Lonchura striata: one gene and its partners. The protein of the gene in region 3 interacts with the protein of the main gene of each other region in a pairwise test. Links are inferred from orthologs where the notes say so. Each region holds a gene or a part of one and is shown on either strand. Other genes may lie near its edges.

The links. The genes of interacting proteins can lie anywhere in the genome.
Region 1: the proteins of CEP76 (region 3) and NHLRC2 interact in binary tests that used the Homo sapiens proteins (3 or more experiments, as listed by UniProt). The two-hybrid records come from large-scale screens. The link is inferred for Lonchura striata from reciprocal best matches to the Homo sapiens genes CEP76 and NHLRC2.
Region 2: the proteins of CEP76 (region 3) and KIAA1143 interact in binary tests that used the Homo sapiens proteins (3 or more experiments, as listed by UniProt). The two-hybrid records come from large-scale screens. The link is inferred for Lonchura striata from reciprocal best matches to the Homo sapiens genes CEP76 and KIAA1143.

The regions. Positions count from the first base shown.
Region 1 is NC_134609.1:24,573,900-24,581,066, reverse strand, and holds the start of NHLRC2 (NHL repeat-containing protein 2), read right to left. Parts: upstream 3,009-7,167; 5' UTR 2,815-3,008; coding exon 2,652-2,814; intron 831-2,651; coding exon 678-830; intron 1-677. Other genes in the region: DCLRE1A (DNA cross-link repair 1A protein), read left to right, coding at 4,176-4,587, 6,090-7,167. UniProt on the Homo sapiens protein: Required for normal embryonic development.
Region 2 is NC_134603.1:111,787,245-111,794,292, forward strand, and holds the start of KIAA1143 (uncharacterized protein KIAA1143 homolog), read left to right. Parts: upstream 1-4,040; 5' UTR 4,041-4,089; coding exon 4,090-4,197; intron 4,198-5,670; coding exon 5,671-5,830; intron 5,831-7,048. Other genes in the region: kinesin-like protein KIF15-A, read right to left, coding at 922-1,055, 3,866-4,025.
Region 3 is NC_134603.1:53,164,043-53,171,814, reverse strand, and holds the start of CEP76 (centrosomal protein of 76 kDa), read left to right. Parts: upstream 1-4,749; 5' UTR 4,750-4,781; coding exon 4,782-4,844; intron 4,845-6,092; coding exon 6,093-6,248; intron 6,249-6,569; coding exon 6,570-6,651; intron 6,652-7,008; coding exon 7,009-7,233; intron 7,234-7,744; coding exon 7,745-7,772. Other genes in the region: PSMG2 (proteasome assembly chaperone 2), read right to left, coding at 1,007-1,125, 1,939-1,997, 2,761-2,932, 4,509-4,577. UniProt on the Homo sapiens protein: Centrosomal protein involved in regulation of centriole duplication. Required to limit centriole duplication to once per cell cycle by preventing centriole reduplication.

The sequences.
Region 1 (7,167 bases), on a different chromosome or scaffold from region 3:
TGTAAGACTACAGCTTATCTCTAACACGCCATCATGACAAGACACTGCATTCTAAACAGAAATTACCCTGCATTTTTATTCAGTCAGTGACAGACAGATCGACAGATCTCATTTCAGATGTGACATTAAAGACCATAATCCCCCCTCTAGAATATAGGGCGATTAATGGTATACAACATAATGCCAATATAAAAAAAAAAATCTATATCAAGCTTACATATTTTGTTATTTCAGTTCCAATGAAAAAAAAAAGTAATCTATATCTTATTCTACAACTATCTGTATCCCCTCTACCACCTTTACTATATTCTTCTCAGAGCTGGTTCCTCAGTCAAGAGTAGAAAATTACCTACTCATATTAATTTTGAGCCTGTATCTCACATTCTTGAGTAGCTTTTTGAAAGTCACCTTATTTACAGAGGTATCAGATTTGGGCTTTAAGCACATATCCCTTTTGCCCAATTTCACAGACACAACAGGCACTTTATTTAACCCATTTAAAAATGTGATGGAAGTACACACAGTCACCTTTTTTAGGCTACTTAAAGATTAGAAGACATTTTTAGACAACCCTGAAATACTGCCAGCAATTCAGTAACCAGCAACAAAGTGACTCAGCTCCTCAGCCTGCAACAGTGCCAGGAAATTCTATTCCAAGCCAGCCAAAGTACTTTTACCTTTATCAGAGTACTGGTGCTCTAAGGCATGGAGGTCAGGCAGCAGGTGCAAGCAATTGATGCAGCAGTAAGTGAAGAAATCCAACACCACAACTTTTCCACAAAGGTCTTTGTGAAGAGAAATAGGACCTTCAGTGTTTAACCATTGCAGATCTGGAATTCAGAGAACAGTGGTAGCCAGTTAGGGGAAGGGTAGGGAAAGGCACCAACACCACATAATGTTCCTGGTACTTTTAACCTAAAAAAAATTAAAAAAAAAAAAAAAAAGAAAAAAAAAAGAGTTTGACATCCCTTTTACGCAGGTAGAAAAGCAAACAAAAAGTTTCTTATTTATGCAACTCATCCTTATGTTCTGCAATTCTTCATAATTAGCAAATTAAGATATTATTAGTAAGATTCACTGTATTATAAAAGTGTAGTTTATATCTTTATATAGGCACTTTTAACTTGAAATTACGTGAAAGCCTCAGAACAAATGTCATATATGTTATAACATTATCTACATTATTCAACCCCCAACAATGCCATGTGGGTAACAATCAATAATTTAAAACTCACATAAAGGCTCCTAAAAGTTTAAAAGTGTTAAACTCTTAATGATTTTTTCCAACAGTTTTCTAAAGAATTGATTTCAGAGATCATTGCAATATTCTTGTGCTTATAAGTTTGATCTTGATATTCAAAGTTTGAAATTACATGTATCAATTAATTCTGTCACATGGGAAGAAATACAACTTTTTCAGATATGCACAAAAGTACACCTGGTCATTTATTTTAACCACTTGACACGAGACATGAAAACATTCTTTCCTCCTCTGATCCTATCAGAGGTATCAAGATAAGGAATAAATATCCTAAAATTTAGTCTGCCAGTATTATCTCTTAGCATTTCTGAAAATTATAAAAGGAAAATATAGTTATGATAAAAATGCAAAGCTAACTAGTTTTTGAACTTTCACTTTGACACTTTCAGAAAATAAGTTCTTACTGATCCAGAAGTTATTCCTACTCAAGTCAGCAGGAGGCTTGTTTTACATTTCACTAAGAGGAGGGCTGTTCTCTGTCTCCATGTATTTACAGACATAAATGGATGCACACATGTTTAATTTTGGTGAGAATAATGAGAATAATTCAAGTATATGCATTATTCCACAGTGTAGGAGCTTTGCTGTTCGGTTTTTAAAAGAAAAGGGTAGTTTATATATTTTACAGCATTTCTCTTTTTTCACTAGAAAATAACTTTCATATATATTTGCTACTTATTTGAGCTCTTTTTAGAGGACAAAATAAGCCTTGACAGAACACTGAAACAACACTAATGGCAAAATCTAAAATTCAATTCAGGGCCCCAAGTCTACACAGAGAGAGCACTCCTTTTGTTCCAAGCTATAATTCATTCCCATGATATGAATTTTAAAATCACCCAGGGTGATTTTAACCCTGAAGTTCACCTCCTGAGCTCCCTGTCTGGCGGTATGACGTGAGCTCCCACAGCTGCAGGGAGCCTCTCAAAGGTTAAAAAGACCCTGAGCAGGACTTGCAAAACCTTACAAGGCTTAACCTTTGATTTCCTCCTTGCCACAAGGAGAGACACAGAAATGTGTGAGGGGCAAACCAGGAGGACGAATGACATCTCCAGCAGAGTTTGTATCGCCCTGGGCAGGAAAATTGACAAGTCATGGAGCAGAGAGCCGGGGAACATCCTGAGGGATGCTCCGGGAAACCAAGCGAGCTCAGGAGAACGCAGGGAGAGTTAGTAAGGTTCTCACGTAAATACACAGTACAGACAGCAACAGACTTAGAAGAGAGGCTTTACAGAACAGTGTTTTTGCAGCCAGTACCAGGGAGAAGATGTTTAAAGGGCTTCTTTTTGCCTCCCGGTGCTCCCAGGAGTGCCAATTCCCGCGGCCGCAGCGGCTCAGGGGCCGGCCCTGCGCTCCCCGCGGCAAAGCCCGCCCGGGCCGCGCCACCCACCTCCGCCGAGCTCGGGCACCGCCAGGTCCCGCTCGCGGCTGTCCATTTTCTTCAGGTACTGGTAGACCAGGTTCTCCTTCTCCTGGGCGGTGTCGGCGTCCAGCAGCGCGTACTCGAGCTGTGTCTGGGCGGGCAGCAGCCCCGCCAGCCCGCCCGCCGCCATCGCCCGGCCGTGCTCACCCGCCTGGCGCTTCGCCGCCGCACATTCGGCACCGCCGCGCCGCCAGGGCGGAACCCGCGGCTGGAGCAGAAAGTAAACACAAGGCACAGACACGCAATAACTCCTCTGTCTTAAAGCCGGACCTCCTCACTTATTCCCTGTTTTTACGTATCCTTGGTTTCCACAGCAGCACATTCCCAGAGCGAGCCCACGGTGGAGATTCCCGCGCAGCAGATTCAACACAACCCGTGTTTCCCGCTAGGATGCTTTACCGTTTCTAAGGTGTAAAAATTGAGCAGCACGGGAAAAAGTCGAAACCAGAGTCCAGTGATTTAAAGGGTGGGATCTGGGGCTCTTCTAGGGGGGCAGTCTGTGACAGAAGAGAAGCTGGGCGACAGCGGCGGTGACGAACCTGCGGAAGCGAATGCGCGGCCACGGCGGGAAGCGGCGGGAGAGGCGGCGGGACCGGCCGGAGCCGGGACAGCCCAGGGACATCCCGGGACACTGAGACATCCCGGGCACTCCGGGACAGCCCAGGGACATCCCGGGACACTGAGACATCCCTGGCGGTATCCCGGGTACCAGGACATCCCGGGACACTGAGACATCCCGGGCACTCCGGGACAGCCCAGGGACATCCCGGGACACTGAGACATCCCTGGCGGTATCCCGGGTACCAGGACATCCCGGGACACTGAGACATCCCGGGCACTCCGGGACAGCCCAGGGACATCCCGGGACACTGAGACATCCCTGGCGGCATCCCGGGCACTCCGGGACATCCCAGGGACATCCCACCGAGCATCCCGGACACAGGGGGACCCCGGGACATCCCCGCCACTCGGGTACTGGGACACACCGTGGAGCAGCACCGGGACCCTCTGGAAGAGCATCACAGGGCACTCCGAGGGGACGCTGCCGAGGAGCGTCCCGGGACACCCTGATGATGATCCCGTAGCTGAATTTTGCCTCGTTTTGTTTTAAATTTTTTTTCTGCTCGGGCAGGAATTTTTAAAATCTTCCTGCCCCCGCCGAGGCCGGGTGGAGCTTACGATGCCGGGGGGAAGCTGAAGGAAATGGCTCACCCTGGAAGGCTTTGCAGACTCGAGCCCTGTGCGACAGGAGAAATCGCAAATCTACAAAGACACGCTCGCTGAATTTATTTTTGGGGTAGGATCGACCATGCTCCTGTCCCACCAGGGTCTCCTGCTTGGTTTGTGGCCCAGCGTTGCTTTCTTAACATGGGCTTCTGGAGCTTTTCCTCAGGTAGTGAAGAGTGGAGGGAAGAGAAAATATATTAGCAGGGGGAAAGGCAGGTTTGTGAACTGTTGCTTAAAAGAAAGGGGAATATTTCATGTGTTGACATGTCTGAAGATGCTTTATTGGAAGAGGACATTTGGGAGTACAAATCCATTAGGAAGCGAAAGCATTGTAGTAATTCACAGAGCATCTCTACTGTGCAGGAAGTAAGTGTTGGCAAAGGCAGGCCAAAAAGAAAAAGAAATAGGAAAAAGAAATCCACAGAAAAAACTGGTACACCTCCGAAAACCAAGCAGAGCTCACGGCCAGGTCAGGATGTGGATCAATGTAAAGAAGACAGCAGTGAGCCCTCGCAGGAAAGTGTGGGTAGACTGGCAGAACAGAGCTCACAAAATGCAAAGCCCGTTCACGATGGGTTCTGTCCCAGCTGCCAGATGCCCTTCTCTTTGCTGCTGGTCCAGACACCTCAGTGGCACGTCTATGAATGTTTGGAAACTCCAGGACCCATTGAAAAAGGTATGAATAGAGTAAGAAGAAAGCCTTCAGAGAAAGCTTACAAACTTCTCACAAAATGTTGCTGTAAACTTCGTTTTTTGTATTCAGCTCAAAATCTGAAATGGTAGTTGGTATGATTTTTATCATGTTTTGTTATGTTTTACTGATCAGTCCTATTTTTATATGAAATTTTGCTTCTTTGTGAAAAATGTGGAAATCTGCCATGAAAATCTCATTTCAAAATCTAATCTCAAACCTCTGAGAAAGTTTCATGGCTGTTTATCAAGTTTTAGTATTTCATTGAACAAACTGAAGGTGCACATTAAAATAATGAGACTTGTTACAATGACAGTGTCAGAAAAGAACCTTCAGGCACAAGGGTGCTACTTTTGACATGAAGCCTCTATCTCCTTAAGTATAGATTTTATTATCTTGTATTCATGTTGATATGTGATATGTTCCGTTGTCTATGGACATTTGGAAGCTGAAATATGCTAATAAACTTGTGGCCCACTATGGTTTAGAAATTTTAAATAGAAATAGACTAATATCCCTGTATCATAAGACAACCGTTTTCTTTTGAGCTCTGTACTAGAGGACTAAAACTGACACATTCTAAATTCCAGTTTCATGGGGAAATACCATAGCTAAACAAATTCAGGTATCCAATATATGTGCTTAATACACCTCATAATTTTTGTAAAACAGAAAGCATACAGTCTGGAAAAGTGAGTAAAGGCTATTTTGGGTAATGCAACCATTCTTCTTTTTACATTTTGATAACTTTCCGTGAGTTTCTTCTTCAGAGAAATGACATGTAAATTCTTACATGATGATTTTGGCAGTGCTTTTAATTTAAGGCAGGTGTTTTAACGCCTCGTTTCTGTCTTACTCCCTTAATTAACAGGTGAAGAGTCCTTCTGGTGGGTTTATGTTGTTCACTTTAAAAGCCTGAAAAGTTAGGCTGGTAATTTGTTACTGGGAAAGGCCTAGGAAAGTGGTATGGATTTTTTTTTTTTTTTCCTATCACCTCAATGCTGAATGTTTTCTTCTTATAGGTAAATGCACAACTTTTTTCTTTTTTTTAGTGTGTAATATCAGACAATTTAAAATGGAATTTCAGGTTAATTCAGAAATTTGTTTGTTACTTATATTTGAAGTGTACTGGCTCTTTCTGGTACTACTTCTTTGAGCTTGTTGCTTGAATGTGAAACAATTCTAAACCAGAAGCCATGTGGTTACAGGAGCACAGCATTGAAACAGGGTCAAGTATTCTTGTTAATGGGCTGTATAATTCAGGCATAGTGCTGTATGAGCAGCAACTGTTTGTTTTTAGGGTGGAAGCTTCTCATTGCTCAGCTTGGAGCAAGAGGCCTTGATAGTTTGAAAATTACTTTTTACTTGTGCCTTCTGTCCTCCAGCAGCTGTATTTACAAGAAAAAGCTCCTAAATTTTTATTTTAACTGTGACAACTATACTTGCAAAGGTATTAACATTGCTCCTTTGTTTGATTCTTCCCCTAGAGTGTCCTGATGGTTTACAGTGCACCTCCACCATTCCATCTCACTACAAGCGTTACAGCCATTTTCTGCTTGCAGCAAACAGGGCAGGGGAGTATCTTGTAAACCCTTTGGGAACCACTGTGGAGATGAAGATGACATGTTCTACTGCTGCAAAGCCCAGCTGTTCCCCAAGTTATGCAGAGGAAACCTCAGGGAATGAGAAACCCTCTACTGAAATAAAGCATACCCCAAATGATGACTGTGCATCAATGGTACGGAATTCACCACAAATGAAGTCCCTAAATATAATTAGTGGAAGTACTTCCTTTTTTGCAGGTGTTGAAAAATCTCAACAGACACTTCAGCTTCCACAGAGGGCAGATAATCATTGTACATTTGAATTTTTTGATTTTGCATCCTCTCAAGAAAGTGAAACAGGAAAACATCTGTGTATGGAGAAAGATACAAGTCAGCCAGGTCTCCTGCAGTCAGGAGTGGACTTCAATGACTGTGGAATTTCTTACTCACCACTAAGTACATTTGAGGAAAGTGAAGAGGAAGAAGAGGAGAAAGTAAAAGTATCACAGAATAAATTATTTGAAGTGCAGAACTCAGAAGAAGACTCCAATTCTGTGGTGTTTAAAACATTTGATGGACTTCTCTTACAGAGGAAGCCTCAGTATGAGCATGCAAAAATGGAAAATTTCATAACTAGAAAAACCCTCTGTGAGGAAGAAAATACACTGAACCATCTAGATGGTGGGTCCTCTTTTGATTGTAGTTACAAGGAGACTGAACAGCTAGAATTTATTTCTTCTGCTGCCAAAGCAGGAACCACAGAGTCAGAAGATGCTGGTGCTCTGGATTCTGCATGTGTGAATTTTACTGGGATGTCATCACTTGTAGACAGAGAAGATGCTGGCTCTCTTCTGACACAGAAGAGCAGAGTTTTGAGGGAGCCAAGTAACGTTTTAATTTGTACAGATAAAATGACTGCCAGTGCAATTGGAAAAACAGTTCACCAGAGTTTGCAGACAGCAGCGGAGAAAAAAGGAAATCGTAGTACAGCTGCTGTGTGCTTTCCCAGCCCTATCTCTTC
Region 2 (7,048 bases), about 59 Mb from region 3:
GATAAACTCAAAGAGAAATAATAAAATTCAGCATCATAGTAACAGCTTCAAAATACATAATAATAATAATGATAACAATTTTGATCCAGTGGTCTTGATTATGCTATGCAGTTTTTACTATCAGTAGGCCAGGTGCCTGTGACACTTATAAAATCTAGCTTTCAACATTTGCCACTGTGGAATGGCACATTCAATAGACCTGCACAATTTAGTCTCATCTATCTTCACATTTTTCTCTTAGTTCTGAAAGAAGAGCCTAGAGCAGGTGAAGTTTTTGGGAGGTTTTGTTTTGTTTGTTTTTTTAACAGAATTTAAATGGGATTGGGAGTCCTAGAAGAATTAAAATAATGTTCAGAATGTCAATCATCCTAGAAATTAAATTGTGGGATTTTCTTTCCAGTATTACTTGTCCCAGGTGATCAATGCATCCATTTAAATACTACTTTTAAAAGGCAAAAGTAGTAGAAGGAGATACTGCAAACAGAATATAAACTCTGAAGTTCCTTAAATACAAATGTGCAGGGCCAGGAGTTGAATTTGATGATCCTTGTGAGTCCCTTCCAATTCAGCATATTTTGTGATATCACATCTTAATATCAGCTACTGACTACCAGTTATTTTTATACATTTGTCTCTATAGGCAGATTTCTTTTCTCTCTGTGGTGTTACCATAATGTTTACAAACAAAACCTCCAATTTTAATTCAAACTCTAAGTAAAGAAAAAAACAGCTAAAAAAATCACATCAAAACTGTTAGAGAGCAGAATTTAATGCAGCATTGTATACTATAACAACGTGTTTCCAATCTGACCACTGCAAAAAATTAGACCTAATGCACTACATCTTTAGAAAGGCTTAGCATAGTAGTTGCCAAAACTTGGGTGAAAACAGCAGTAATTATGAGATTCTGGAAATTATTACCTGTGTTGTTTCCATATTTGCAACATAATCAAAAGTGAAGATCTTTGGCTCAGGCTTTGAGTGCAGGCGGATGGTATTTGATGAAAGGACCGATAAACATAGGCCATGATCTCCATCAGTTAATACAGTTCTGTCTGAAGGGGGACGCACCCTTACAAAAACTTTGATAGCATCACCTTCAACACTAAATAAATGTTTATGCATTAGATTACTTCCAAATAGATCAGATGTCTGATAAAATCAAATTGAAACAATCAGATGAAGCATATGAAGCCTTACAAAGGTCCGTCCGAAAATCATTCTACTTGTAGACAAAAACAATAGAAGTAGAAATGTGGCAGATTTAAAGAACAACGAACATGCAGTTACATGCAATTTATTGCTGTGGCAGTTTGCTTTGCCTCTAAAAGAACACATTGCACAGTGAACTTGAGATGCCCTTCTTACTCCTGGAATCTTTAATGAATCAATGGATAAGATAATGCTATGGTCCAGCTAAAAAGTTGTTAGCATTTTTCTTTGGTGCTTACAAGACAGGGAAAAAGAATAAATTCGTGATCAATGAATCAAATAAAGCATAGCAAGTTCTGCATCTAAAATATCCCTAACCAATTTCATCACATTTATCAGCTTTAATAAGTAACTGTGCATGACTTTACATTAAGGCTCTGAAGAGTTCTGCCGTAAATACCAATACACCCATAAAATATTAAAGAATTAAATTCTTACATAAAGTGGTAGCAAACTTGGATTTACTTTACTTCATTATGTTCCAAAAGTTTTAGCAGGAGGGTGTTGCAACTGCTATTATTACTTTTGGTAACAAGAGAGAAGAAAAGTTTTAAAAGTGGGGAAGGGTCTTCATGAACGAAATGTGCAGTTGGGTAGTGACAGAGGAAAGGGTTCCAAACATAAGCAGCAGCTGAGAAAGGGATGTTATACTGGATTTAAGACACACCAAATTAATTTGCCAAATGTGCTTTCTTTGTATAACATTATTCTGAGTTATGGCACAGTTTACACTTGGAGGAGGGCTTTTTGGCTTTTGTTTTAGTTTAGGCTTCCTCACAGGACCGAAGTTCCTAGTGGGATATTTCTTCATATAAACTCTAGAGCTCAGCTGCAGAATTAGTTGAGAAATGAAAATTTATTGCATGACAGCATTACAAGAGGAACCCAACGTGTCAGTGTAACAGTTTTATTATGAGTACGTTATTTTTAAAGCCTGTAAGGATACTGGGAGAGAAAGACAGCAATCTTAGGCAAGTAAAGATTGAAATAAAAATCTTTAAATTATCTCACAAAGTTATGCTAGGCTTTATTTGCACTTTCTGTGCAATGTGATTAAAAATATATGGGAATGGCCAATATTGTTTTACCTAGATGAGTTCAATGAAGATATTGAAGAGTCACGCAGATCTCCTATAAAAGAAAAGAGAGACACACAAAAATTACAATAAAATTACTGCTCCAAACTCCTCACTTAAATAGAAAATACTGTAAGCAGGACAGAGGGAAATAAATGGAGAGCCTTATAAATACCTGTTTTATGCATGAACAGAACTGCATTAAAATATTTGGTAATTACCTTCCTTTGGCAGAAAGATTTCAGTTTTTTACAGAGGAAGAGAAAGCTCCAGTCCTTTAATGTGAACATTACCAATGTGCCATTTGTGAATTTGGCAAAAAGGAGGCTCTGGGAGACCACTCTACAACTGCCTGGAAGGAGGCTGGGGTCACGCTCTTCTCCCACGTGATAGGACAAAAGGACACAGCCTCAAGCTTTGCCAGAGGAGGTTCAGACAGGACATCAGGAGGAATGTCTTCACTGAAAGGCTTATTAGATATTGGAATGGGCTGCCCAGGGAGGTACTGGAGTCGCCATGCCTGGAGGTGTTTGGAATGGCACTCAGTGCCATGGCCTGGTTGACAAGGTGTTGGTCAGTCATAGGTTGGATTCCATGATCTCAGAGGTCTTTTCCAACCTCACCGATTGTGTGAGTGAGGCTCATTTTGCACAGCTTCAGATTTCAAGGTGACAGCACATATTACCCCATAGGTAGATAAAGTGACTTATTTTTTACTTAATCTGACATCAAAGTACATAATATAGCCAAAACATTAACTAACAAAACTAACAAAATTGTATTTAGAAAATAAGAAAAATAACAATGAAAGACAATGCCTCAAAATATTCCAATAATAAAGTATTTACAAAATCCTTAAAAGCACACAGGTTTTTTTTTAGGAGGATCACCTTTAACCTTCTCTTTGACATTCATACTACCCAAATATCCTGCTGCTGCATGAGCTTTTTACGTGCTGCTTTGACTTACTCAACATCTGAGAAATATTTTCACTTCTAATTAAGTAATTTATTCTTCAATTGCACAAGTTTTCAAGGAAAGGAGTGCAGTTAAAAACTGAAGTCAGACCGATAGGTACTTGCACAGCCCTGGGACTAGCCTAAAATTGTGTAAACGGAGGTTTGGGCCGGATATTAGAAAAACTCTCTTCACTCAGAGGGTGGCTGGGCACTGGAACAGGCACCGCAAGGAAGTGGTCACAGCACCGAGCCTGACAGAGCTCCAGAAGTGTTTGGACAATGCTCTCGGGCGCACGGTGTGATTGTCGGGGGTGGTGCTGTGCACGGCCAGGAGCTGGACTCGATGATCCCTGTGGGTCCCTTCGGACTCAGCTTATTCTGTAGTTCTAGGAAAGGGCCGGCTCCCAGGTACCCCGACACCACCGGGGCAGCGCTCTGAACGCCCCGGAGCACCGAGGGGCACCGAGCCCCTCCGCACGGCTGCGCCGGGCCCCATGGTGATGCCCCGCCAGGGTACGGGACAGCGCGGCTCTCCCGGGCAGAGCCGTCCCCCGGTGCCCCCGCCTCCTCCCTGGACCGAGGGCACATCCCTAGGCCCCTTCCCAGCCGCTCCCTCACCTCTCACGCCGGGAGCCATGGCCGCTGGGACCCCGGCAGCTCCCGCCCGCCGCTCCAAAATGGCGGCGCCTTCGAATTTGGCGCTCAGCGGCGCGGCCCCGCCCCGCGCCCGAGCCCGGCGCGCGCCGCCATGTCGCCCGGCGCGCGGCTGCGCGGCCATTGGCCGCCAGCCCCGGCACGGGGGGCGCGCGGCCCGCCCGGGAGCGCGCGCGGCGGCGGCGGCCATGAGCAAGAGGAACCAGGTGTCGTACGTGCGGCCCGCCGAGCCCGCCTTCCTCAGCCGCTTCAAGCGGCGGGTCGGGTACCGGGAGGGCCCCACGGTGGACACCAAGGTAACGCCCGCGGCTGGGAGCGGGCAGCCCCCGCTTCCTGGCACTTCCCGGCGCTTCCCAAAGCTTGATGCCCGCTCCTCCCCGCTCCCTGCCTCTCGCGGGGGGGAAGTAGCAGCATTCCAGGGTTTTGTAACTCAAATCGTACGTGTAACTTGGTTTTGCTTGTGTGTTGGCGGGTCAGAACAACTGCAAGGCTGCAGTGGCGGCCGTGCGGAGCCCCGCTCCAGCCTCTCCGTGCCCGAGGCCTGTGCGGGCACGGAGGGAGCAGCGCTGATGTCCGAGCTTGAACCGGGCCTTAAAGAGCCCAGGGCAGTGCAGGAGGAGGCCGGTGTGGGGAAAAAATACTCTAAAAGTACTGTAAAAAAAATGATCGTAAAGGAGTTAAGATGGGTTCGAGCTAAAAGAGGGGAAATTTAGGTTCTGTATATGGAAAAAAGTTCTTAACTGTGAGGGTGGTGAGACAGGTTGCCTAGAGTTCATTGTGGGTGCCCCATCCCTGGAACTGTTCGGGCCAGGTTGGATAGCACTCTGAGCAGCCTGGCATAGTGGGAGGTGCCTTGTCCGCGGCCAGAGGGCTGGAACTGGATGATCTTTAAGGTCTCTCCCAACCTAAAACATCTTGCTGTAGGTCCGCGGTCATGAACTGTGTTGTGATGGCTGGAAAGGCAGGGCAGGGGCGGTAGGGTCTGAGCCAGCTTGTTGAAAGGCAGCTTTTCCTAAGGCACATGTTTTTTTTCTGCTTCCAGTGTGATTTAACATGTATTTCCTTCTAAATAGTATTTTACAGGGTATCTTAAGAAATGAACTTATCGTTTTATACACACATATATATATATATATTTATATATATACACATATTCAGTAGATTACACTAATACTGTCTATCCTTAAAATATGAAGTTTTCAGGTTCTCTGATATTGCCAAACTTAAGGTTGCTGCACTGAGGTTTCCATGCCAGAAGGTGTATTTTAAAAAAATAAAAAATTACCCCAATTGATTCTTCTGTCCCAGTGCACAAGTCAGAGAGAGTAGAAACAGGAGCATTTTCTTCCTTGTGTCAGTGCTGCTTACAGTGATTTGTTTAGCCGGGTTTAAGAACTCAGCCACCATGGACCCACATTTCCCTTTGTGCTGCTTTGAGTACAGCATGGAGGGTTCAAATTTGGACCTTAAGTTGTACAGCAGATTGTGCTGCACAGTCAAGATAGCGAAGAAAAAGAATTAATTTCTTGCTTTCCAAGTTCCTTCTGGTCTCTAATTGAAGAAGCCCGTACTCCCATGCTAATGTTTTCAGTAGGAAGCTGTGTCTGAGTGATAGAGTTGGAATGTCCTTTGGACAACGTGGTGGGAGGGCCTGGCACTGGCAGCTATGCCAAGTCTCCTCAATAACCTTTCTGCAAAAGTGAAACCAAGGAGTACTGACCCACAACTGGAGTGATGATCAGAATGGCTTTTATTTCTCCCTTGTCCAGAGAGAGCAGCTTCCACTTGCTGATGATGACAGTGACAATGGCAGTGACAAGGAAGATGAGCAGCCTCAAGTGGTGACACTGAAAAAAGGGGACTTGACTGCAGAAGAAGCAATGAAAATTAAACAGCAAATCAAAGAGGCCTTAAAGTCAAAAGAATCAGGTGAATTTCAACTACTAATTTCTTGCTTTTTGTAGTCAAAGAGATAACCCACAAAAGCGAGTCTGATACTTGCTCAGTTTTCTACTGTTTAATACTACCTTTGATTAGTTCTGAATTTTTCACCTAAATAATTTGTACTTCTGGTTCCTAATCTCAAGTCATTAAGTACATATTCAGGCTGTCTGGCTTTTTATAATGATGTGGTTCTGTGCTTCTTGATTATGCACCATCCTCCCTCTAAATAATCCCTTAAATTAATTTTTTTTGTATTTTTGTAAATTAATTTTTTGTTGTATTTTTCCGGTGAACAGTCTTTTGACATCACCTGTGATAATTTTTTAACTCATTGACTAGTTCAACCAAATTTGACAGTGGAGTGGATGATTAAAAGCTAATTGTATGAGTGCATGAAGGAGAGTGTCAGGGCAGAGGGATTCAGGTCTGTGCTTTGGTGGAAAGAATCGCAGATGCATGGCTTGGGAACACGTTCGCTTGCCTGACTGGTCCATGTTATTACTTGTTTAAAATCAACCCCAGTATGTGTTGTGACTTGCAAATATATTAAGCAAGATAGACAGATGATACAATAGTGCCAAAAACCATCAAGGTCCAGAAAAAATTGTTTCTCTGTGTCTTGGTTTAGGGCAAATTTGGGAGAAAACCTCCAAAAAGGGCCCCCCCCAGAAAGCAAACTCCCCCCAACCAGTTTGGGAAAAATTTCTGTGGAGAGAAGTGGAAAGAACCTGTTTATTTAACAGGCAAAGCACTCCCCAGCACAAAAAATGAACAATACCAGATGACAAAACTCATTTGCTGCTCTGAAGAGATGACAAATTCAGAAAGTGTCTCCTGGGAGCGGTCACTCTGTTATCAGTCCCTCCGGCACTGGGAAAGGCTGCTGCCCAGAGAAGGCCCAATGGCCACAAAGTGAGAGCTCTTAGTGCTCCCCAGGTCCCCAGTCTGGAGCAGGTTCAAACAGTTCTAAGAAAAGGGAAAGAAAAGACAGTTCAGTGAAAACTTCCCTGCCTCAGCTAGCTAAACTAAACTAAAAAGTAAAGGAGGGATCTGTTCTGCTCTGTCCATGCCAGAACAATCCAGTGCAGCATGTGGAGGAGGAATGCAGTTTCTGATAACAAACTCCATGCTTCTTCTCTCTGCCTTTGCTCTCAGGACCAGTCTTGATGGCACAGAATATAATATCCAGCATAAGCAGAGCAG
Region 3 (7,772 bases):
TAAAATGTGTTTTTTCTTCCTTCAGATAAGAGGTGATTAATTCAAAATCTGTTAAGGTAAACTTGGACTTAATCATGATACAGTATTTTTAGTAAGCTCACATTATTAATAGATTCAGACTTTAGTCAAGTTAAAAGTATTTTCTGGATGCACTACTCTCACTCTTTAGTAAATCTGCTCTAAGGGATTTGTTCTGTGGTGCTGAAGGAGCTGAGAGGGTTTAAATCACAACTTATGAATTAGACCTCATCAAATAACCATCAGTCCCTCTCATTTCATTCCATGTTAGCTGGCCATCCTGCAATTGTATGGATCTACCGCTATATCTGGGACATGCATAGATCTAAATCTCCCTTGAGGCCCTACACACTTATAGAGCCTGAGGATAACAACTGCAGAAATGCTGGTCTTATTTCTAGAAGTACTGATTTTATTTATTTCTCATTAAATCACCAAATAGGATGCCCTCAATCATCAGGAAAGGCCTGGTTTTTGGATGGGTAGTATCTATTAAAAAAAGACTGCAATTGCAGCCTTGCAGTTGCCTCCCAACAAATAACTTCCTATAAAAAAACACCCAAAACCCAGGAATGACAACTTACTGTATTGAAGAAAACCTTTCAAATGCAGAATGATAACAAAGAGGTCAGAAACAAACTAATATTGCCATCAACTATTAAAAACCTAACTTGTGACCTGTATGTCAGCAGTTAAGCCCTGATATTGCCTGCGGCCACAGAAGTTGAAACTGAGGCAATGCAGGCTGAGTGCAATTTGCTTACAGCTTTTCATTTGATCAGTACTTCTGACAGTAGTAACCTAGAAAATTCAGTGACTTGTACTGTAATACGTCATGTTTTAACAGTATACTAAGCATTTTATGACCAATGCACACATGCAAGTAAAAGCACCTGCCAAAAGTACTCAGGACATGGAAGTAGAGGGAAATATATCAGTCAAAAAAACCCAGAAACATCAATTAGATCTTTTAAGGAGACAAACATACCCCAAAAGTTGCTCATCATCACGCTGGTATGCGTGGCTGCTGGACAGGAGGACAACCCTGGCAAATTTGCTGCTCTTCACCCAAGAAAGCAGAGTTTCACAGAATGGCCTGTACTTGTTCTTCATGCAAAGACACAGACAAAAAAGTGAAAAATTTAATGTGTCCTTAACAATACTAGGTGTTACATATAGTATTTAGCAGTGACGTAAATTATTCTTCATATCCACTTAGTTTTCAGCCCCAGATATATTAGAAAGCAGAGAACTGCCCTGGTTGTTTACTTAAGCAAAACTACAAATAGAATTACAAGAATTATCTCTAAGACCATGTCAAGAACAACAGTACTACCTGTTTTGTGTGCCGTTAATACCAAAGGAAAAAGATTTAGAGCAGGATGGGATGGCAGGATCACACAGTATTTTTCCACACTTTGAACTGCTAAAATACTGCACTACAATTTTCTTTTCTGTGGTGGCATTCTGCTTATTTTAAATTACAGCCACTGCCCAATTAATGAGTAATACTAAATTCCTCATTTTTACCAAATGAACATTGTTTAAATGAATATAGAATAATATGAAATAATTAAATTGGCATAACACAAAAAAGAATAAAGCTATTACAAAGAATACAGAAAAAATATAAATGCAAAGGAAAAAATAAACAAACAAAACCCAGACCATTTTGTATTTTCATGACTCTTAATAACTAAGGAGATATTAGCACTAAAATCTACCAACACAGGCAGCTGTTGTGGGGCTTGGAAAAACAAAATGCCCAAACTGATGATGCAAAATGCCTCAGCAAATGCAGAAATCAGTAAAACTTTACCAACTGCAGAAGGTGTTACAGCCTGAAGTAGAAAAATATTTTTGCCAGCAGAACTATTCAAACCAAACAGTGAAGTAAAAATGATCGATGAACATACATACCTTTATAAAAGGTGATCTGATCTGCAGAACTACAAGTTTCTTTGAAGGTAAGGAGTACACTACAAGAAGAAATCATTGTCATATTAAGCAGAAACTGAGAATCTGGGTTTAAATATATCAAGAATTACCCCACTTACAAACTTCAGGATAGTAAAGTAAACCTTTCAGTTATCAATTCATACGGGAAAGCCTGACAACATCCACTGTGTTAAAACCACATATTTCTGTGCATTGTACTTTCAGTTGTACTAATTTAAGGACTGAATTATGAAACATATATGAGGATTTGCCTTCTGTAATGATTCAGATTATGTATGCATCTTTGCAAAGATTGCCATATTATTCTGAGATTTCTGTGATTTAAGAGGGTAAAAAAAAAGGAGATACAATGATGAATGTAGGGAAAGAAATTAAGAATTTGTAGGGGGAGTGGGAGAAACATTACACAGGGAAAAAGGCAGAGGTATGTAGGAAAGAAGAAGAGTGGATAAGTATCTTTCTAAATGAGAAATTCAACTTGTATTCCAATAATTTATTTTAAGTATGTGCACACTTCATATTGCTTTGGATTAATACCACAGAGAGTTCTGGTTGCACTACAATATGGCTCAAACATTCTAAATGTCAAATTGGTTTTCCAAAATAACAACAGGAACAGTTTCATTTGTGAAATATGAATACATTCCTATCTGTAGGTTTCTGCAGCTGTTATTACTGCCCTTAATTTAAGCACATCAGCAAAATTTAACAACAACGAAAAAGAAAATGTGATGTTCTTGCATCTTATGTCCCTTGCAAACGCTTGCAGTATTCTATACCCACCTTCAGCATTTATACTCAGCTCCATTGAGTTTTCCTCTGCTGTTGCATATGGGTTATTTCCAACCATTGGCACCAGGCAATCGGTATAGAAGTAACCAACTTTAGTCATGTCAAGCGTGGAAATCACCAGATCTATTGCCAACTGACCGACATTCCCCACGGACACGGCTGGCTGAAGTAACAGAACGAACCGAATTACAGCATACTTCATGGATGGCATAATGTGCTCTTCAAATAGTGAAACCTTAAAATCTGGTCAAACATCATTTCTGAAAGTGGCTGCTCATCCTCTGGCAAAGGTGACTATTTCCTACCAGAAGAATTGGTAAATACAGGATTTGGTCTCTGTCCGACAAAAAACATCCTGGCCAGTTCTGTGAATAATCCTGTCTAATTGTAAACTGAAAGAACAGCTTGGAAACTTACCTCCTTCCCCACATTTTTGGATTGAGAGTAGGTAAAAGTCACTCAAGTGACTGATGTGAGACTGGCTCACATGATGCCCAAAGGCAGCTCTGGTATTACATGTTAAGCCTCTAAATCTCAGACTGACTCATAGACAAGAGTATGTAATTTTACATATTTTTTAAGGATGAAAATTATAAGGGTGCCCTTAAATTAATTTCATAAGAATTGCTACGGGTTATCATCGATCGGGGCAGATACTGACCTAATATGACGACACGGAAAGAGAAAGTAAAGAGTCAGTGTCCTTCCAAAGAAACTATTACGGGAAGACTACCATAAACCGCTCGGTTGCTTTCCTCTAATTTATAATCACATCTAAGAATTACTGCTGCTGCTGCCTGTTGGGGAAAGACAGCGGATTTGAGGCGGACAGAAGATGAAGGGGGCCGCGGCAGCACTGCCGTGCCCCCGCCTGGCTGGCACCCAGCTGCCCGCCCGCCGCAGGCGCGCAGCTCGGCAGGGATGCGCTTCCTGGCGCTCGCCAGCGGAGCGGGAATGACTCCCCGGCAGCCGTGCCGGCAGTGGAGCCGCCTGGGCGGCGGCGCTCCTGCAGCCAGCGCAGCGAGGCCAGACCAGACGGCGTTCGTCCCTCCGCAGCCTGCAGCTCCCGCCCGGCAGCGTCGCCTCGGGCACGTCACCCGGCACCGGTGTCACGCGCGATAAAAACACTTCCGAAAACAATCCTAGTCCGAGATTTAAATGTAGCAGAATGGCTTTTTAAAAAAAACATTTGAAGCATTTATATATCACATCTAAATTAAAAAAAAAAAAAAAATCCCAAGCTTTTATTGCAGTGACAACCCACGGGTGCTGCAAATCCAGTAAAAGCACATAGGGCGCGTTAATTTTTAGAGCAACAGCGTATAGCTATAGCTCCGAAATAGCATATAGTTATTGCTCTAAATTAAAATATAGCTTTTGCAGCTCGGCACGGATCGTCTTGACAGGGGCAAACCCGGGGTTCTGAGGAGGGAGAAGCCGGCAGAAAAGGAGAAGACCGCGCTAAGCTCTGCCGCAGACAGAGCCCTCCAAACCCTCTTTTCCCAGAACACCCCACAGATTCCACACACACCGCCTGCCCTGAGCTTTCTCCGCTTATCCCGCGGCCAAGCGCCCAGGGACGAGCCTCGGGCAGGGCAGGGACCGACACCAGAACCCCGTGGGACATGTCCCGTCCCACAGGAGCGGAGCGGAGCCCTCGGCACAGGGACCGCGGGCAGCGAGCCCTCAAACGCACCGAGGGCGAGGGCGGCGAAAGGCGAAGCAGGAGCGTGACTCACCATCAGCAGAGTGAACCCTTTAAAGTCGGGGGCGGCGGAGCCCCCGCCGCGGCCGCACGGAATGAACATGCCGGCCGGGAAGGGAGGAGAAAGCAGGCAGTGAGGGAAGGAAGGAAGGAAGGAGGGAGGGAAGGAGGGAGGGAGGAAGGAAGCAGGGAGGGAGGAAGGAAGCAGGGCGCGGACGCCGCACCCGCGTGCCGCCGCCAGGGGGCGGCGGCGGCGCTGCCCGCGCTGGCTGCGGGGCGGTTGGGCTCGCTCGGTGGCGGTGCCGCCATGTCGCTGCCGCCGGAGAAAGCCTCGGAGCTGAAGCAGATCATCCACCAGCAGCTGCTCAAGGTGGGCCCGGCGCCGGAGAGACTTCCCCGGCCCTCAGGGAGCTGTGCTGGCCTCCGTGCCGGTGTCACCCGGCCGCGGGTGGCGGCGGCGCCCGCTCCGGCGCCCCGCTTTGTTTTCCCAGTTGGGTCGCTGCAGGTGGTTTCCAGGCGCCGCTTGGTCGCTTTCCTGTTGCTTTTTGAGCGAGGGTCTTGAACTGGCCGGGGAATAAGTAAGGAGGCTGTAACTCCTATAGCGCTTGTTAGTGCAGTGGTGAATATTCCTGCCCGTCACAGGAGAACGGGGATCTTGGAGTGAGTCCAGAGGAGGCCAGCAAGATGATTAGAGGGGGGCAGCGCCTCTGCTTGAGGAAGGCTGAGAGAGCTGGGATTGTGCAGCCGGAGAGGAGAAGGCTCGGTGGGAACTTCATAGCAGCCTTCTGAGGGGAGCCAGCAAGAAAGGAGACAGACTTTTTACCACAGCGTGTAGTGACAGGACAAGGGGAGATGGATTCAAATTGAAAGACATATTAGGAAGAGTTTTTCACTGTGATGGGTGTTGAGGGACTGGAGCAGGTTGTGGATGTCCCATCCCTGGAAGTGTTTCAGGCCAGGCTGGGTGGGGTTCTGAGTGACCGGATCTAGTGGAAGGTGTTCCTGCCCATGGCCAGGGTTTTGGAATTAGATGATCTTGAAGGTGTTTTCCAACAAGGTCGTTCTGTGATTCCGTTTCAGGTCCTGGTGACTGTGTCCTTCGCAGCCTTCCAGTGTGAGAGTCAGCTCTATAAATCCATCTGCTTTCACAGCTCAGATGATGGGCATTCTCAGACATCCCTTTGAGTATAGGGAAAGCTTGCAAAGGAGATCTACTGCTTTTGTGCCCAACCTATATAATGAATATTTTTTCCCCTTAAAAAATAAGGAAGTATTATATTAAGGTTGAATTTTGAGGGAGACAAGAAAATGGAACAGTGACCATTTTGTAATTTATGTATTTCCAGACCTTTTTGTAAGGGGGGACGTTCCAGATGAGTTGCTGTCAAAGAGCAGTGAAAATGCCAAGGTTTTGTATGCTTGTAATTTTTTTTTACTGGGAGAGTTGCTTTTGTAAGATAGTGGCTCATTTGATTAGTTGTGCAAGGATCAGTATTTTGATATCGTTATTTCTGTGTTCTTAGGAAAACACCATTAGCCTTACAGACTTAATTGGTAAGTTGTACCTGCTGCCATACAGAGGGCTGGTGTTTGTAGCACATAATGAATTTTCTTTCAGATGGATGTCCATGGGAGGATACGAGAAGTTCTTGCTGAGACTGTACGAGAAGAGCTGGCGCCTGAGCAGCAGCAGTTGTCCACAGAAGATCTGATAAGAGCCCTAAGACAGCGGGGAATCATTGATGATGTTATGAAGGAACTTAAATTTGTAACTGTAAGTAGCTTTTTAAGAAGGGAAATATTTCTGCTTATTCCTCTTACTGCCGTGGTTTTTCGACAAAGTGAAACCGCTGCTTCTGGAGTTTTGTAAGGACCTTACTGATTTGAGACATTATAGGAGCAGAGAAGATTAATGCACATGCTGAAATCGGTTTGGTGATAATACTGCACTGAAAATATTTGTTCAGTTTTAGAAGGGAGTATACCTAAGGAATGGCATTCAGACGAAATGGAAGATCCTTTAATTTTTAGAAGACTGTGGTAAGAGCACTGTTGCATCCCTTGAGTCCTTAAAAAGTCTTAATTGTAATTCCAGGATGTGAATGAAACGGAGAGGACTTTGGCTCCAAAACCATCAACACATTTTGTTGACAGAGAACCACCAGTTTTGAAAAAAAGTATGTTTCTTGTTTATTTAAATGTTTAGATCATGGTTTTAAAGCAAATTTGAAGTCTCTGATTTTGGCACTCTGAATTAGTAATCCAGTATGAACTGGAATAAAGGTGGATGTTTCCTCTGCTTATCCACAGGGAGTAAACTCATGTAAGCAGCAGCAATCAGTGTTGCATTAAATATTATTTATTATTAATTCATTTACTTTACACAAAGGTATATTTTAAAATCACTTTCTTCTAAGCATGTTTCAAAGAAGTTTAATTTTTTGCTAGTGTCCTGTTAGTTACCTGATATTTAACAAATTAAGCTTTCTAAGATCTGTTTGTAGTCTCTTCATTTTTATTGCTACGCTTTGCAGCTAACATTGACCCAACACGGAGGTATCTTTACCTTCAGGTTTTGGGTGGAAAAGCTTTTCTGGAACATCTTCAGGAACCAGAGCCTCTGCCTGGCCAGATCTGTTCTACCTTCACTCTGTGTTTACATTTTCGAAACCAGCGCTTCCGTTCCAAACCTGTACCCTGTGCCTGTGAGCCAGATTTTCAGGATGGTTTTCTACTTGAAATACACAAGGATACCCTAGGTAAGGAATATTGTGGGTTTAAAGCTGATGCTGTTGGGATTTCTTCTGACCTGAGAGTTATTGTGAAATATGTTTGGTATTATTTAGTGAATTTTTTTCCTGGTTTTTGTCATGTTTTCCTGAGAAAACTGATTACTGTATTGGGTTATACCCCTTGTAGATCTTTCTCTGCTCTTGCTCTTTTCCTTCTTTTTCACTCTAAAATAACTTGAAATTGACCAGCTTTATAAATTCTTAAATGTTAATTCCATTTATATTTTTTGTGTATCTGAACTAGTTGCATTGCAGTACTCAACTGCAAAATAATTTTATCTTCTCTGTAATCTCTCTGTAGCTCTGTCCTAAAGTGAGTATGGTGTTAGAGATAGGATCATTGTTTACACTTCTGGACTCAAGGTCTTTCTTTATACTTATTACAGACATTGCATTTTGTTGCATACTGTTTTAAAATTCTGAGGAGAACTTGGGATGATAATATTCTTGTTGTTTTATTTTGGTTTAATAATGGCAGGTGATGGAAGCAAGATGGTGGATGCAAC